Linked DNA regions of Tribolium castaneum. The protein of the gene in region 1 purifies or fractionates together with the protein of each later gene. This does not show direct contact. Links are inferred from orthologs where the notes say so. Each region holds a gene or a part of one and is shown in the gene's direction. Other genes may lie near its edges.

Evidence for each region.
Region 2: the proteins of uncharacterized protein LOC655879 (region 1) and Fs(2)Ket purify together in Homo sapiens (affinity purification with mass spectrometry; 3 studies listed by BioGRID and IntAct, with this or other methods). This does not show direct contact. The link is inferred for Tribolium castaneum from reciprocal best matches to the Homo sapiens genes PPM1G and KPNB1.

What each region holds. Positions count from the first base shown.
Region 1 is NC_087395.1:16,945,759-16,953,498, reverse strand, and holds the start of uncharacterized protein LOC655879, read left to right. Parts: upstream 1-3,595; 5' UTR 3,596-3,758; coding exon 3,759-3,869; intron 3,870-3,918; coding exon 3,919-4,426; intron 4,427-6,641; coding exon 6,642-7,040; intron 7,041-7,090; coding exon 7,091-7,345; intron 7,346-7,740.
Region 2 is NC_087398.1:2,429,050-2,437,016, reverse strand, and holds the start of Fs(2)Ket (importin subunit beta-1), read left to right. Parts: upstream 1-3,541; 5' UTR 3,542-3,878; coding exon 3,879-3,933; intron 3,934-4,291; coding exon 4,292-4,533; intron 4,534-4,586; coding exon 4,587-5,230; intron 5,231-5,726; coding exon 5,727-6,670; intron 6,671-6,804; coding exon 6,805-7,582; intron 7,583-7,810; coding exon of another isoform or gene 7,811-7,811; exon of another isoform or gene 7,812-7,967.

The sequences.
Region 1 (7,740 bases):
AAATTAATTACGAGGAACAAGACTTAATAAGCCGGTCCTTTGAAACGATTCTTTTTAATTTGCAGCTTGGAATTTCACTTCCCGATAAATATTGACAGCTTCATTGCTACTGTTGTTTGTAAACAACATTACCGGGTAATATGAGTTGATTTTTTCAAGGAAGGTAAATAATTGCACAAAAGAAAGTGAGTAAACTGTAATAATTTTTTTCTGAAAAGGATTTTCATGCACGCATAAAGCGCTCGTTTTACTAATGAAAATTGTAATTTTGCGTGGGGAAAGCATTTAAATTGGGTCTCCGTTGGATTCTGATTGATGACGATGCATTTTTGGAAAAGCTCGCAATATTGCGGGCTCGCAATTTGAAGTAATGACATGATGCAGCGGCGGACTTTTGTTCGGTTTATTAGGTTTACTGGGGGCTGAGTCATCGTTTAAAGTCGTTTAACGAACGGAAAAAATATACAATTTGATTTTACTTTTAGTTGCAGGTATTTGGTGATTTGTTGGAAATATTGTCTTTCCAATAAATAAATATTTATTTAGTTTAACTAAAGTTGAATTAGAAATCTGTTGCTTTCATATTCCTGTCCATGTTTATTTATAAAGATCTGTCGTAAATTCGACCCATAATCCTGGTTTTAATGTGCCCTTTTGACAAATCCCGCCAGGGTGTATATGTGACGCGTTTTAGCCTTTCTTTAATTCATGACGGCTGCGATATCATATCCTTTTTATTTATTTAATACAAACTTTTACTGCGAGAAATGAAATACATCGCATGCATATTTATTACGAGGTATGAACTTAATGAGAATTACGAGTATTTCTACCCAGCCGTCAGTTGCAATTTAACTTTTTTAATTACTTTTAAAGAATATGGGAATTTTCATTATTGTCACTACTAACTATATCAAGTGCCTTTTTCAATTGTCAAATTAAGTCAAATATGCTTATTAGTTTCTTAGTGTCCATTGTGGTGCAAGTAGCATACTCTTGACATTATTAAATAAAAAACAACATTAATTTTTAATGTAGTGTCAAATTTGGAAGTAGTTATGTAAAATAACGCATAAGCTCACGTTTCAGGAAACCTCTAAAAGAATCTAATAAAATAGCCTTACTCACTTTTAACGAATTTATCAACCCAAACCTTTTTTGGATGGTAAATTGGCAACATGTCAGTAGGGGAAAGTGAGGGAATACCATGCAACGGGTAAAATTGCGCATCAACGTAACAGCCATTTGATAATTTTTTATATATATTTCTAAATATTATAAATATTTATTTTTTATAAATAAACGAATGATAAATTTCACGCAGTCCTTCTTACAGGAAAATACTGTACAAAAGAAAAACGGAAAAAGCAAGTCTTGGAGCTCTGATAAACTTCAAAAAATAGTAGAAGGAATTAATGGGAATTCCTTATTAAAGATCAAAACAGAAAGAGGCGAAAGCTATGAAAGCACTTACAAATAACTGCTTTTTTACATGATTGAAGATAATATACAGTTTTTAATGAATAGAAATATTTTGCAAATGCACGAGTATAGAAAAACGTATTTAAAAAACAGTTTGCATAAAACTAAATTAAATATTACTAATTATTGTAGAACACAATATCAAAATGATTCATGCAAATTACATTTTTTAATTTCTTTTAGAGTTATTTGTAATAATTTTCTTTTAGGAGAACGGTATTTCCCCACTTTTCCTTACTTATGTCTTTTCGTCGTATTTCTATTTTAATTGTTGAGGAGTAGTTACAGTGATAACTAACTATGAATTTTTTGTACTATGTTGCCATATCATTTTTTTTTAACTTTCTGGATATAAAAATCACAACTTTTAAAATAAATTTATTAAAATTTATTGTTGTTGATTATTATAAATAATTTTCAGTTTCGATGACGTTGAAAAGTAGAAAAACTTGATTCTTTCTTGGTTATATAACTATCTCGACTTTTCTTTTTAATACTGCTAAAAATAATTTTTCTAGAATTTATTGGAATGTGTGCTATAGCAAACTGATGAGTTTCGGGTTTCATTCAAATATTTCCATGAATAAATTTTCGTAACGTTCATTGATACGTTTATTCTGATTATTCATTTTTTTGAAACGTCTTTGTGTGAAAATTGAAATATTATTCAATTACGACATTTTTATTTTAATAGAAAATAATTAATTAAGACATAATTGTATACGAAAATCTTAAAACAAAGAATTGGCTTAAAGTTATAAATTTTTAATATAAAAAAATTAGTAGTAGGGGTGTGGTAGATAATTTAATTTTAAAGAGAGAAATTTTTAATGATCTTTTGGTGGGTTTTTCTAAAATTAAGACAGATACAGAAAGCAATAGAAAATTAATAAATGGTGATCAGTTTTAAAAAGAATTTGAAAATTTTTTCATTAAATTTTGATGACCTAAAATTTAATATAGCTTTCTAATAAACCGACCATTAGTAAACACAACTTTACTAGTCTTGCGCCTAATGTATGCACCCAAATAATATACAAAAGTCACAAAGCACTAGATACAAAAAATTTAAATACATTTAATTATTTAATTTTTGGAAACTCATTGTCAAACTAATCACTGTCTCATTAATAGTCATGAATTGCTATTTTTTAGAAATAGTTACCATGTTTTCTGCCAAGAGACGGAATGAATATGATTCAAATCTATCTATCTTAATACCTAACTACGCAAAAAACGTTGTAATTTTTTTAAGCGATGAACAAACTAGATAAAACCATTTAATTTTTCAAAATTTGTAATTGAGATCGTTTTAGAATATGTATTCATGGTGGCTTTTTACAGGCGCAGGTTTTGTAAAATTATGTGAAACACCCTGTATAATAATTATTTTGATTTAAAATATCTTTTTAAACCACCGATAGCAAAGTGATCATATGCTATCGCATCACATTTGATTAAAAATAAAACTAAATTATTTTTGGTTTCCTAGGAAATAATTTCCAGTGTTGGCATATCTACAAATTGTGATTTTTTGATAATTTTTTTTAATCGTGTACTAAGTTTAAAAATAATTTTTTATTCAAGAAACACGTTTTTGCAATATCCAAAAAACTGTTGTTTTGTGATAAATAATGTTTAGTACTTAGTACTTTTAAAACCATAAATATCAGTTAACTTGGGATTTATAATAGGAATGGGAATTTTGTAACGTGAATTCTTTTTTTAATTAGAAAGAATTATAGTATAGTATAATATTATGACGTATTCCACTAAAAGATAGAATGAGTTTGATTCTAAACTATATCTTAAACAGGAACTAACTAAAAACATTACAACATAGCACTTTTTCAAAATTTAGGATCAAATTCCATTTACAATGTTCTGCAACCAACATTACACCGACAGACTATGTGAGGCCATTTCTATGACCATTCCTAGTCAGTGTTGTTTACATAGCAGCCATAGCAGCCAAACGCCTTAATTTGACGTTTAGATAATAATTTAAACAAAATAAATGTTAACAACTTCTATCAAAAAAAGTTTTGGTGAAGTATTTTACTGGAATTTGAACATGGCGCCAAATGAACGCAAGTGCGTGATTTTGGCGCGTCGACTCGACGCCACCTGGCGGTACATGTCAGCCGTTTTGTGTAAAAATTCGTCCAGCATGGAATCGAGTTAACAAGTCGTAATTTAGTGCCGGTATTGTTTAATGACCAAAACAAAACCACCAGCGAATACGTTTCGTAATTTGGGCAAAAACACAACCAACAATGGGCTCGTATTTATCAGAACCGGCCACCGAGAAAGAGTCCACCGACGACACCAACGGCAAATTAACTTATGGGGCAAGCTCTATGCAGGGCTGGCGTATGACCCAAGAGGTAACCCAAACCACCCCCAAACCCGCCCTCACCCATAACCCAATTCCAGGACGCACATAACTGTATCTTAAACTACGACGAGGACACTTCGTTTTTCGCCGTCTACGACGGACATGGGGGCCAGGAAGTGGCCCAGTATTGCTCGGACAAGCTCCCGGACTTCATCAAGAACACGCCCGAGTACAAGGAGGGAAACATCGAGGAGGCGCTCGTTTCGGGCTTTTTGAGGTTTGACGCGCTCATTGCCACGCCAGAAGTTGTGGAGGAATTGAGGAAAATCGCCGATGATAAGGACGAGAACGAGAGCGACGAAGAGGAAAATGTTAACAATTTGTACGAAGAGGCGGCCATGCCCATTGAGCAAGTTATTGAAAAGTACACCTCTAACTTGTCTAATCCGGCGGTGAAAAGTTTAAAAAGGGACATTAAATCGCCCTTTTTGACCGCCAAAACAGACAGTGACCCCACGGTAGGCACCTCCTCAGCGGGCTCCTGCTCGAGCTCCACGAGCCAAGGCGGCGACGGCGTCAGCAGCTCCAGCGAGGCGGGACTTAAGGGTTAGCTACGTAAAGTTTGTTAAGTTGGCAACATAGGTGTTTGTGTTAGGTGAAGGCCACAATATATAGATAGTCCTGGTGAACCAAATTCCCTTATTTTCTATTCGCGGGCGCGAACCAAAATGTGGAGCAGGTTGGAGCTTTTATTTTATTTAACAGATGGCACTGGTGTAGACTGAGACTATCACAATGTTTAAAAATGCGGCATTTATAAAGAACTATTAATGCTTGAAGCGAATGGTAATTGTGTTTTTTTTTCTGGAAAGCATTTATTATTACCTCAATGTTACATTGTCTTTTGAGGCCGAAAATGCGTCAGAGCGAAGTAAAAAAAAACAGAAGTTACTAGATTACTACTTTTTTTATAAAAAACAAAAAAGGTGAAATTGTGGCAGTCTCAATCTATCGAGCTGCCATCTATCAACTTGCTCCAGCGTTAGAATCAATTATTTATACACAGTGGACCAAAGACGGAAAAAACACTTCTCAAGTACAATATTTATTTAAAAATTTATTCCGTAAGAGTTTAAATTAACATGTTTAATGACTTTGAGCTGAAAATGTTTACTTTCAAATAGTAAAAAAATGTGTGATCTAACTTTCTTGGAAAGTCTCGGCTTTATTATGTTTTTTTTTACTTCTAAATAATTTATTGTCAAATTCTTTTCATTTGCGTGCTTTATTTTGTGTTTTTCATGTTGTTTAGTTTATTTTTTGATTCAAGGTTTTTCAGAAAGTAGCAATTCAAGATAATTACTTTTATTCTTATACAAAAAGCTTCACGTTTCTCCACATTAAAAGTCTTCGTTATTTTAGAAAGAATATTAAAGTATAAGTTGCAACAATTTGCGACTTAAGACGCTATTTACATATTTTCTAACTCGGAACATATCCATTATTCCTTTATACAGGGTGCTCAAAAACTGGCACACCAACTCAGTGGTACATTGTTGATAAGCATGTGTAGATTACGGAAAAAAATCTTGAATAAATTCACAAAATCATATTTTAAAAAATCTGCAGCTACAAACTTATTTTGTTAACTTCTTCAGTTATTATAATTTTTTGATGTTTTTATGTTTCACACTAAGTAATCGTTTCTTAACACAATGAAGAATAATTATTTTTAAATTTACAATCAGACTTTAGCAGTTTTTTTAATTAAAAAAATTAAAATTCAACACTAAAATCACAATTTGTAGGTGTGATAACATTGGGTATTATTTCCTAGAAAACGATTCGAAAAGAATTCATTTTTATTATTGATTAAATTATATTGGGATCACGACTGTTAGACGTCATTTATCAGTTCGTTATTTATCAGTAAATTTAATACAAAGATTCTTTTTACTATTCTTACCTTTATATGTTAAGCAATTCTCCAGACACTATTGAGTTGATGCGCCAGTTTTTTGGCTATGCAACTAATTATATTCCACATGCTGTCCATAATCTCAAACTTTCAATTACATTTTGATTTTCCAAATAAAGAAAAATAGTTTTCTGTGAAATTTTATGGATTAGTTGCCAAAATTTTATTGGCGTTCGCGTGCGCGCTAAAGTTAAAAAAACGCAATACTTTTCACATTACTCATTTATTACTTACGATCTCGAAGGACACGAATATGGAGAAGAAGAACGAAGAGAGCGTAAGGCAGCTTCTGACAAGCAATCTTACAAAGAGATTTAAACTTTCACCTATAAACTTTAAATACAATTCAGCAGTAAAACTACTCTTATTCAATTTATCACGGAAAATTTATTTACATTGCAATATGGATCACATAGTGTCATTGCTTACTCAATATTGTCCATTTTTTTGTGGATTCTTATAACAATAAAGAAACACTAGAAACATTTATAAAAGAAAATTTTACGTAATTAAGTAATAATAATGTATTGCAGAATAATATAATATAAATAAAATAAAAAGTGAAATGATAAAAATAATAATAATTGCAGAAATAAATAAACGGTTTGTGTCCCACTTTAATCGACGTTTAAAAAAATGTGGTTTGTAATCGTAATTTTGTAGGAAGTACCACAATGTGATGTTTTTTCTTAATTTTTCATCTTGATTCGAATTTCGCCTTTTGGCTGTTCTCCTCTGTGAGGCCTCACCTTCGGCCGTCCCTGGGAATGAACAACAGTTGATTATGGAATAGTTGCCAACATAAATTTCGAGACCATTAACAAACCTCCTTTTTGCGTTTAGATAAGACAGAAGAGGAGAACAAGCCGGAGACCAACGGTCCTGGCGAAGTTTCCGACGAAAAACCCAACAGTTCAGAGGTTAAAGACGAAGTTGGGTCCACTAAAGACGAACTTGGGTCCACTAAAGACGAACTTCCAACCCAAAACGGTGAAATTGCGCCTTCCGATTCCGAGGCCCAGGCTAAGAGTGACGTCACGAGTTCATCAACACCTGTTGAAAATGGCACGCCGTCAAAAAAGGGTAAAGGAAAGGCAGTCATTAAACCAGAACCTGTAAAAACACCAACAAACACACGACCAAAACGGACGGCACAACAGTTGTATAAAAACTGGTTGAATTGTGGAGAGGAAGAGAGTGACAGCAGCGACGAAGAAGACCAAACATTTGAGGGTCCAAATGGTGCGAAAACCATTTTTTAGGCCCAAAACTAACGGTTTGTTTGTTTGTAGAGGAGAGCTCGGAGGACGAAAATGAGGGCGTTAACATCGCAATTGACGCGGAGGGCTCTGAGGAAGAGAGTTCGGAAGAAGAGGAGGAGGAAGATGAGGACGAGGAAGACGATGACAGTGAAGATGCAGATGTCAGAACCTTTAAAGAAGAGCCAGGGTCTGACAGTGGCTGCACGGCAGTTGTGGCGTTGTTAAAAGGCAACCAGTTGTACGTAGCCAACGCCGGGGATTCCCGTTGCATAGTGTGTCGGAATGGTAAATAAGTTTTTTTTGGCGAGATACAAAATCGCAGCTTTTCGTTTTTAATAAAGTTAAAAAAACTAACAAGTAAAATTTTCACTAGAAATATGGGAAAAAAATTACTCAAAATTTACGCTTGTCTCTTATCTTTCAAAATGCTGCGTAAAAAGAAAGTAGCAAAGAATTTAATCTTTTTTAAAAAACTCCCGTGGATTGTTAATTGTCGTTAATTGTTTAGACCCCAAAGACGCTCAATATACGGTTCCAGTTCATTTCACCAGTGGTCAAATATCAAAAAATTATTTTAACCGCTGAAGCTAGAAATACGGTTTTCCTGACTTTTTTTATAGGAAATTTAATTTTCTTTATTCATTACACTTCTTAATAGTTATTTAATAAACTAGTTTGTT
Region 2 (7,967 bases), on another chromosome or scaffold:
GTGCTTCGAAACAATTATTATATCTATTAAAGTTATTAAGCTATTAGGAAATTATTAGCTATTTGCATAACTCGAGGTTCTAACGTAATCTGCGCTTTTTCTGTTTTTGCACACACTTTGATGTCCTGAGCGTGTCCTGGTGTAAAAATGTGGATTATGGATTATGAAATGCTTTACCGTATCCAGCTGTTCACTATTTACGTTTATTGCTTCAAAAGAGATAAATTCATGGAATAAACCATTAAATATAGACTCGGCCTGAGTGCTCCATCAGACTCAACTCCCCGTTTTGCGCGACCTCCGGCTAAAGAAGAAATAAGTCCGGGAGAAATATTTAAAGAATTGATTATATTTTCAAATGGGATTGAAAAAATCGTGCGAGAGCATTCCAGTCCTTAATAGCTTTAAAAATGAACGTGCAACGAATACGCGTCTCCTTGTAGGGTTTCATTGTTAGTTCTCACGTTCTACATAAATAATTGCCGATTAAGACCTTTTTATCAATTTAGTATCAGCATGTTCGGTTCGGAGCAAATTGCACTACAATTACCTGCCCGCACAACACTCGCAATTGCACCTTATGAAGGTGTTTGACTAAGCACTGATCCTCAGATTCAATTCATCTGGTCTAAATACACCACATTAACATGGTAATGTTTGGTCGGGAGTGAATTCCCCAACAAGCGCTTTTAAATCTGCCAAATAAGGTAAACTGCCGTTCCAGCCTCCATTTGACTTGATTATAACGATAACGTCCAGTTCTTGTCGGCTCATTTCCGATGGTGAGGCTGTCACTGTATAAGACTTGTCCTCAATTAGCTGCGTTTTTTACAAAAAGAATCTCCCATATCGGTGGACACTGAAAAAATTCATTTCCAGCACAAACAATAAATATCGGTTCGAGTCACTGGCGAATGAATAATCCTGTCTCAAGTTCAAGACGAATGAGTGATTAGTATTTATGATTCATTTCTTGTACTATTAAAAGTTAATATGGCAGCCGATATAAAATTTGATTTATTTTAGACAAAGACACCGGACTGTCATCATCAATGTCGGCGATTTGTATTTGTATCTAATAAGCGATAGCGAAATGGAATTAAATGCACCTATTAAATATTTCTGCGTCAGAGTGGCAAATTTATGGCCCATTTTATCAGCATTCTGGGCGAAAAGTAACGCAGATAATGAGCAAAACATGTCCTTTCCCCGACGTGGTGTGAGGTCTCGGAGCGCAAAGTGAGAATTAATCGAAAAAATCTTTCCAGGAATTGTCTGAGAAATTCTGATACTTTTGCACAAGCTGAGCAATATTTTACAACCTCCTGTGCATAAATCTCGTTACTGTCGCTGTATTTTTACTAGAACAACGTCTTATTTACATCTCCGTTCTCACTTATGCTCATTTTTGAATGCCGATGGAGATGAATTGGTTTATTGTATACAGTATCAGACTGAATATAAGCACGACAAAAGACCTGCGGATTAAATTATTGCAACAGCTCGCTTTTCTTGCACTTATAAATCACAATATGAAACTTTGTTTATCCAACGTGATGTAATTCTTCACCTTCGTGGAATACTGACCTATTGAAGTATCCGTTCCGGATAGAGGGTGACAATAATTGCGAGTGTATGTGCTTACGATACTTGCAAATTCCTCCTATAAATCAATGCGAATGAAGGAGATTTTGCCAAAGGTTACCCTGCAAATTAGGCGATTCAGGCATGACCGCACACTGTAATAACGCCTGCCTTAAGCATGTTACAGGTTCACGAAGACATGAAACGCAAAGTGATGCTAAATAATAATAATAATAATGATAAAAAAGGAAAAAGTTTAAACAAATATTAAAAAAAAACAGATAAAAGTTGAGAATATAATGTAGTTATCTTAGTTAGAAATACTTAGTTCGAAATAAAATTATAGAGCAAAACACAAAAACTATTTTGGTCCATGTCTTAGATTTAAGACCATCATCTCCTAAGGTTTGAAATAAAAAAATATGTGCGTAGATGCACCTGTAAGGTAGCTCGTGGACATTGCCACACCAGGAAGTGCAGTCCGAAGAATCATGTCCTTCCGGCAAACGAAGAAAGCTAAAAATTGGTAACCATCTTGGCAATTACGCTATCAGGGTCGTGTTAAAAAGCCACGGTCAGTAATAAATTCCACAATTATTTCAATATGCTTTCTCGGGCGTTGGTAATGCATAAGAGCGTCATTACAATAAATACAGAGTACTTGTATAATACTCCGGGGAATATCAACAAATTGCAAATACGAACCTATACCCACTGCAAGCACGCCAACAATTTTATTTATGTTGCAATTATATTGCAATTTAGCTCGTTTTTTGAAAATTCGTCGTTTACGAAATACCCATAAAAATCCTTTATTGTGTACGACTGTCCTCATAAGTTGTTTGTTTGTCCAAAGAAAAACTTTATACTCTTATTTATTGGATATTAAAGGCGAATGTTATGACTTTTAAATTGGTTTTATTAAGGCAATTAAAGGTGGTGGACACTGTAAAACCCATATTTACGAAGTTACTTACACTCAAGCCACATATTTCTACAGATTTTATTAATGACCACAATTAATTACTCCCTAAAGCCTTCACCTTTTCTTCGATCAGGTGGTTTCTTTTTTAATGGAAATGCATGTGTCTACGCAACATGTTAAATATAAATTCACAGTATGCAAGATACCATCAGGTTTGTGCAGCTAAGTGCGTTCAAAATAACACAAAGTGCTCGCAAAACACCCAAGAAACAATGCATTACACTCTGCTCTAAACTTGTTTTGCTCACCAGGAAGAAAGTACTCGACTTTACCTAATTTTAAAATAAACCCACTTTTAACATCCCTATAGCAATAAATGAAACATCTTAATAATAATAGTAATAACAATAATAATAATAATAATAATAATAATAATAATAATAATAATAATAATAATAATAATAATAATAATAATAATAATAATAATAATAATAATAATAATAATAATAATAATAATAATAATAATAATAATAATAATAATAATAATAATAATAATAATAATAATAATAATAATAATAATAATAATAATTTGAATTGAATTTTTTTTATGACTAAAATGAATAGTAATCAAACGTTGAGCAGGAGAAGTAATTTAGGTCAAAAAAAAATGAGAAAATAATTATTTATATTGTTATTTTAGTCAATTAAATATTGATAGGCGTGGCCAATTATGTTTAAAATGAATCCTATTTTTATACAGAATCGTTAAAGGGATATATACAGTCAAAAGTCTGAAAAATAGTTCATTAAATTGTTTTTCAAGTTATATTTACAATTGGTTTATCATAAAAACCGTCAGCTGCAGTAAAATGGGACTAAAAACAATGTAATATCCTATATTATATTTTTGAATAAGCACTATAAAGTTGGCTTAGAAACATAAATGGTTGCGACATCTATCAAAAAAAGCAGTAATCATTGTAAACTGTACAGAAACCTATTAAGAAAATGCGCGCAAAGCAAATCGGTTTAACGGTCATCTTGTCTCCGCACTGAAATACAGTATAAGTGTTTATTATCGTTAGTGACAAATCACAAGTTAATTTACAACGTAAAGTGCTTCAAGTAAATTGTTACAACTGTGTGAACCGCTGTTTGATATAATTTGGGTAAACAACGATTGAAATTGGCCGTAGTTTTGAAATAACGATAAGGAACCGTCATTCATACGTTAGCAGCAGCGTATGAATATAGCCTTCCTGCCAGTTTAATCATCCTACATGTCCATGTGGTGTTAGCCGGCTGATTGCAAGAACCAATTAATTAAAACCGTTAAGTTTACAATATTAGTCAGTAATTCTACAATAAAATGCATCAAGAAACACTCCGACTTATACAAGTGCTAGAAAAAACTGTTTCTCCCGGTAAGTACAAAACTTGACTATTTGACAAGTTGCCATCATTTTTTAACCACTGCCATATAATCGCATGCCTAATCATCAAAAAGCACGTTCCTCTCAACCCCGCCTCATTTCCGCCTTTTCGATAAATTTCAACCCGCTTTGACATTTTACGAAATTCCCAAGCAACTCCCCGTCAGGGCTTAAACCAAAAACCTGACGATGTCGCCGCACCGGCGTCGAAACGTCGGTCGCTCTTTTTCCCAAAATGCAACTCTTTTCAAGCCCTCAAGCTCGCAAAGTTTCATCATAACCTCACACTTTTCGAGGTCATTATCCTCAGTGATTTTCCGTTAATCACAGCCTATTTGACGATTTCCAGATAAAAATGAACTGGAGCAAGCATCAACATTTCTTGAGCAAGCTGCCGCCGCTAATATCTTAGAATTTATCAAGACTCTATCCGATATCTTGCGACATGGGGGCAACAGTCCCGTTGCTCGCATGGCCGCCGGTCTCCAACTGAAAAACCAACTCACGTCCAAAGATCCCAACATCAAACAGTTATGTCAACAGAGATGGCTGTCGGCACCGGAGGAGATACGCAACTACGTCAAGAAAAACGTAATTGTTTATATACCGGTTTTGTTAGTGTTTTTTTCGACCGTTTTCTCCAGGTCGTAGGGGCCCTGGGCACGGAGACCAACCGGCCTTCGTCAGCGGCCCAATGCGTGGCTTACATCGCTGTCACCGAATTACCGCACCACCAATGGCCCGACCTGATCGTCACGCTAGTGAACAACGTAGTCCAACCAAACTCCACCGAAATGCAGAAAGAAGCAACGCTGGAGACCATCGGCTACATCTGCCAGGAAATCGACTCAGACGTGCTCGTTACCCAATCCAACGACATCCTCACGGCGATCATCCACGGAATGCGCTCCACAGAGCCCAGCAATCATGTCAGATTTGCGGCAACGCAGGCGTTGTTAAATTCGCTCGAATTCACTAAAGCTAACTTCGAAAAGGCAACTGAAAGGAATTTCATCATGGAGGTGGTGTGCGAAGCCACTCAGTCGCCAGATACGCAAATTAAAGTTGCAGCGTTGCAATGTTTGGTTAAAATTATGTCTTTGTATTATCAATATATGGAGCCCTACATGGGCCAAGCTCTCTTTCCCATTACTTTAGAAGCGATGAAATCTGACAATGATGCCGTGGCGCTTCAAGGTATTGAATTTTGGTCGAATGTTAGCGACGAAGAAGTGGATTTGTCCATCGAAGCCAATGAGGCAGCGGATGCAGGCCGGCCCCCAGCCAGGTAAGAGCATCATTTCTGGAATGACTATTAGTAAAAACTGTAATTCCCTGTTTATGCGTTTAAGTGAAATCCAGTCTGTGAGCGATATGATAAATTCGTAACTTAATCAGCTAATCGTTAAATATCATTAGATAACTAAGTTTTTCTGTTTTTACTTCGGTCAGAGAATTCCCACAATAAATGTTAACAAGAATAAATAATCTTTTTACGGCTTTTGCCATGCTATTAAAAGAATCAGATTAGTAGTAGTTTCATAAACCTAGTCAGATTTTTATAAACACAAATTAAACTAACGATGCTTTTGTGTTGCTAACTTTAGTTTGGTATTTTTATGATCGATAAAAGCCTTGTTTTGATTTGATTTTCACAATTTGCGTTTGAAACATCAAAAAATAGATAAGTGTTAAGTCAACAAGCCTATTATTAGAACGGAGATTATTCATTGTCCTGTTACGCTGACTCAACCGTCAGTCAGTTAAGCGAATATTTCTTCCAGAGTATCACGCCACTACGCCAAAGGTGCGCTCCAATTTATCGTACCCATCCTTCTGCAAAAACTAACGAAGCAAGAAGAGCTCGATGACGAAGACGACTGGAACCCGAGCAAAGCTGCCGGCGTTTGTTTAATGCTTTTGGCCACATGCTGCGAAAACGAAGTTGTTCCACACGTTTTACCTTTTATCAAAGAAAACATAAAGTCTGAGAATTGGCGATTTAGAGATGCGTCGCTTATGGCTTTCGGCTCGATTCTTGGCGGGTTAGATAACACCACTCTTAAACCATTGGTGGAGCAAGCCATGCCAACCTTGATAGAGCTGATGTATGATAGTAGCGTTATCGTGAGAGATACTGCGGCTTGGACTTTCGGCCGAATTTGCGAAATTATTCCCGAAGCGGCCATTAACGAGAATTATCTTAAGCCCTTGCTGGAAAGTTTGATTAATGGACTTAAGGCTGAACCGCGAGTTGCGGCGAATGTCTGTTGGGCGTTTTCTGGATTGGCTGAAGCCGCCTACGATGCAGCTGAAACTAACGAAGACACGGGAACTCCCGATACGTACATGTTGTCACAATACTTTGAGTATATAATTCAGCGGCTTTTGGAGACTACGGACCGTCCAGACGGCGCTCAAGCTAATCTCAGACCGGCAGCCTACGAGGCTTTGATGGAAATGGTGAAGAATTCACCGAAAGATTGCTACGTCACCGTACAAAAGACAACAATGGTGATTCTTGAACGTTTGCAACAAGTTTTACAAATGGAAACACACATTACGAGCCACAATGATAGGTCACAGTTTAATGATCTCCAGTCGTTGTTGTGCGGAACACTTCAGTCGGTTTTGAGGAAAGTTACACCAGAGGACGCGCCGCAAATATCCGACGCCATCATGACTGCTATGCTGACCATGTTCAACTCGAATTCGTGCAAAAGTGGAGGTAATTCACCAGCCAAATGCGCCTTCAAATAAAATCTTTCGCTTACACTTTACAGTGAATTGTATTAAAGATTTTAGTTTGAAGGCGTATTATAAAAAATTATAAGTACGGGAATTAAACGTTGTTTGTGTTAGGTGTACAAGAGGACGCACTGATGGCAGTGTCAACCCTGGTGGAAGTCCTCGGTGAAGGTTTCATCAAATACATGGACGCGTTCAAGCCGTTTCTTTACATCGGCCTTAAAAACCACCAAGAGTACCAAGTTTGTGGTACCGCAGTCGGTCTAACCGGTGACATTTTCCGCGCTCTCAAACTAAAAGCTCTTCCTTATTGCGACGAAATCATGACTCTTCTGCTCGAAAATCTCGGCGATCAATCGGTCCACCGTAGCGTCAAGCCACAGATTCTTTCAGTGTTCGGCGATATCGTCCTAAGTATCGGCCCCGAATTCAAAAAATACCTCGATGTTGTTCTCACAACACTAGCGCAGGCGTCGCAGGCACAAGTCGATAGAGATGATTTCGATATGGTCGATTATTTGAACGAATTACGCGAAGGTGTACTTGATGCTTACACGGGCATTGTACAGGGTTTAAAAGGCGATGGCCCGACACCTAATCCCGACGTTTTGATTCTCGAACCGCACATTCCTTTCATCGTTCAATTTATAACCGTGGTGGCACAAGACACGTTCAATTCTGATGCCACGGTTGCGGTGGCTGCCGGATTGGTGGGGGATCTCTGTACGGCTTTTGGAGCACCACTTTTACAACTCCTGGATTTGGAGCCGATCAACGAGATGTTGGCGAAAGGCAGACGAAGTGGAACTAATCGTACTAGAACTTTGGCCACTTGGGCTACGAAGGAGTTGCGCAAGTTGAAGGCTAATTCGACGGCCGCTGTAGCTAGTTGGTAAGTGGGAGTGGACAGTTTCAGCAGATCCAATTGGCAAAAAATCGTTACAAATAATATAAAACAGACATTATTAAAATTATAGCTGGGATTTTTTTAAAATTAAAATAAAGTTAGTTGTGGTGGGTCGGTTGGATCTGCTGCGTTTGAGACTTGGCGTTGGACTGTATGTGTCTCGCGAAAATCGGTGTGCTGAGCGAAGTTTGACAGTGCTTTCGATGGTTTCAGATTTTCTTTGGCATGTTGTGGTTTAACAGAAGGAAATCTAACGAAGGTGTGGTCAACGGCATCGATATTGGATTCGCATTATACATAAAACCAAAATTCTTGCAGACTTTAGTTTTCGTTTTGGCTGAGTCGGACCAGTTTTGCTCATCTCTCGGTT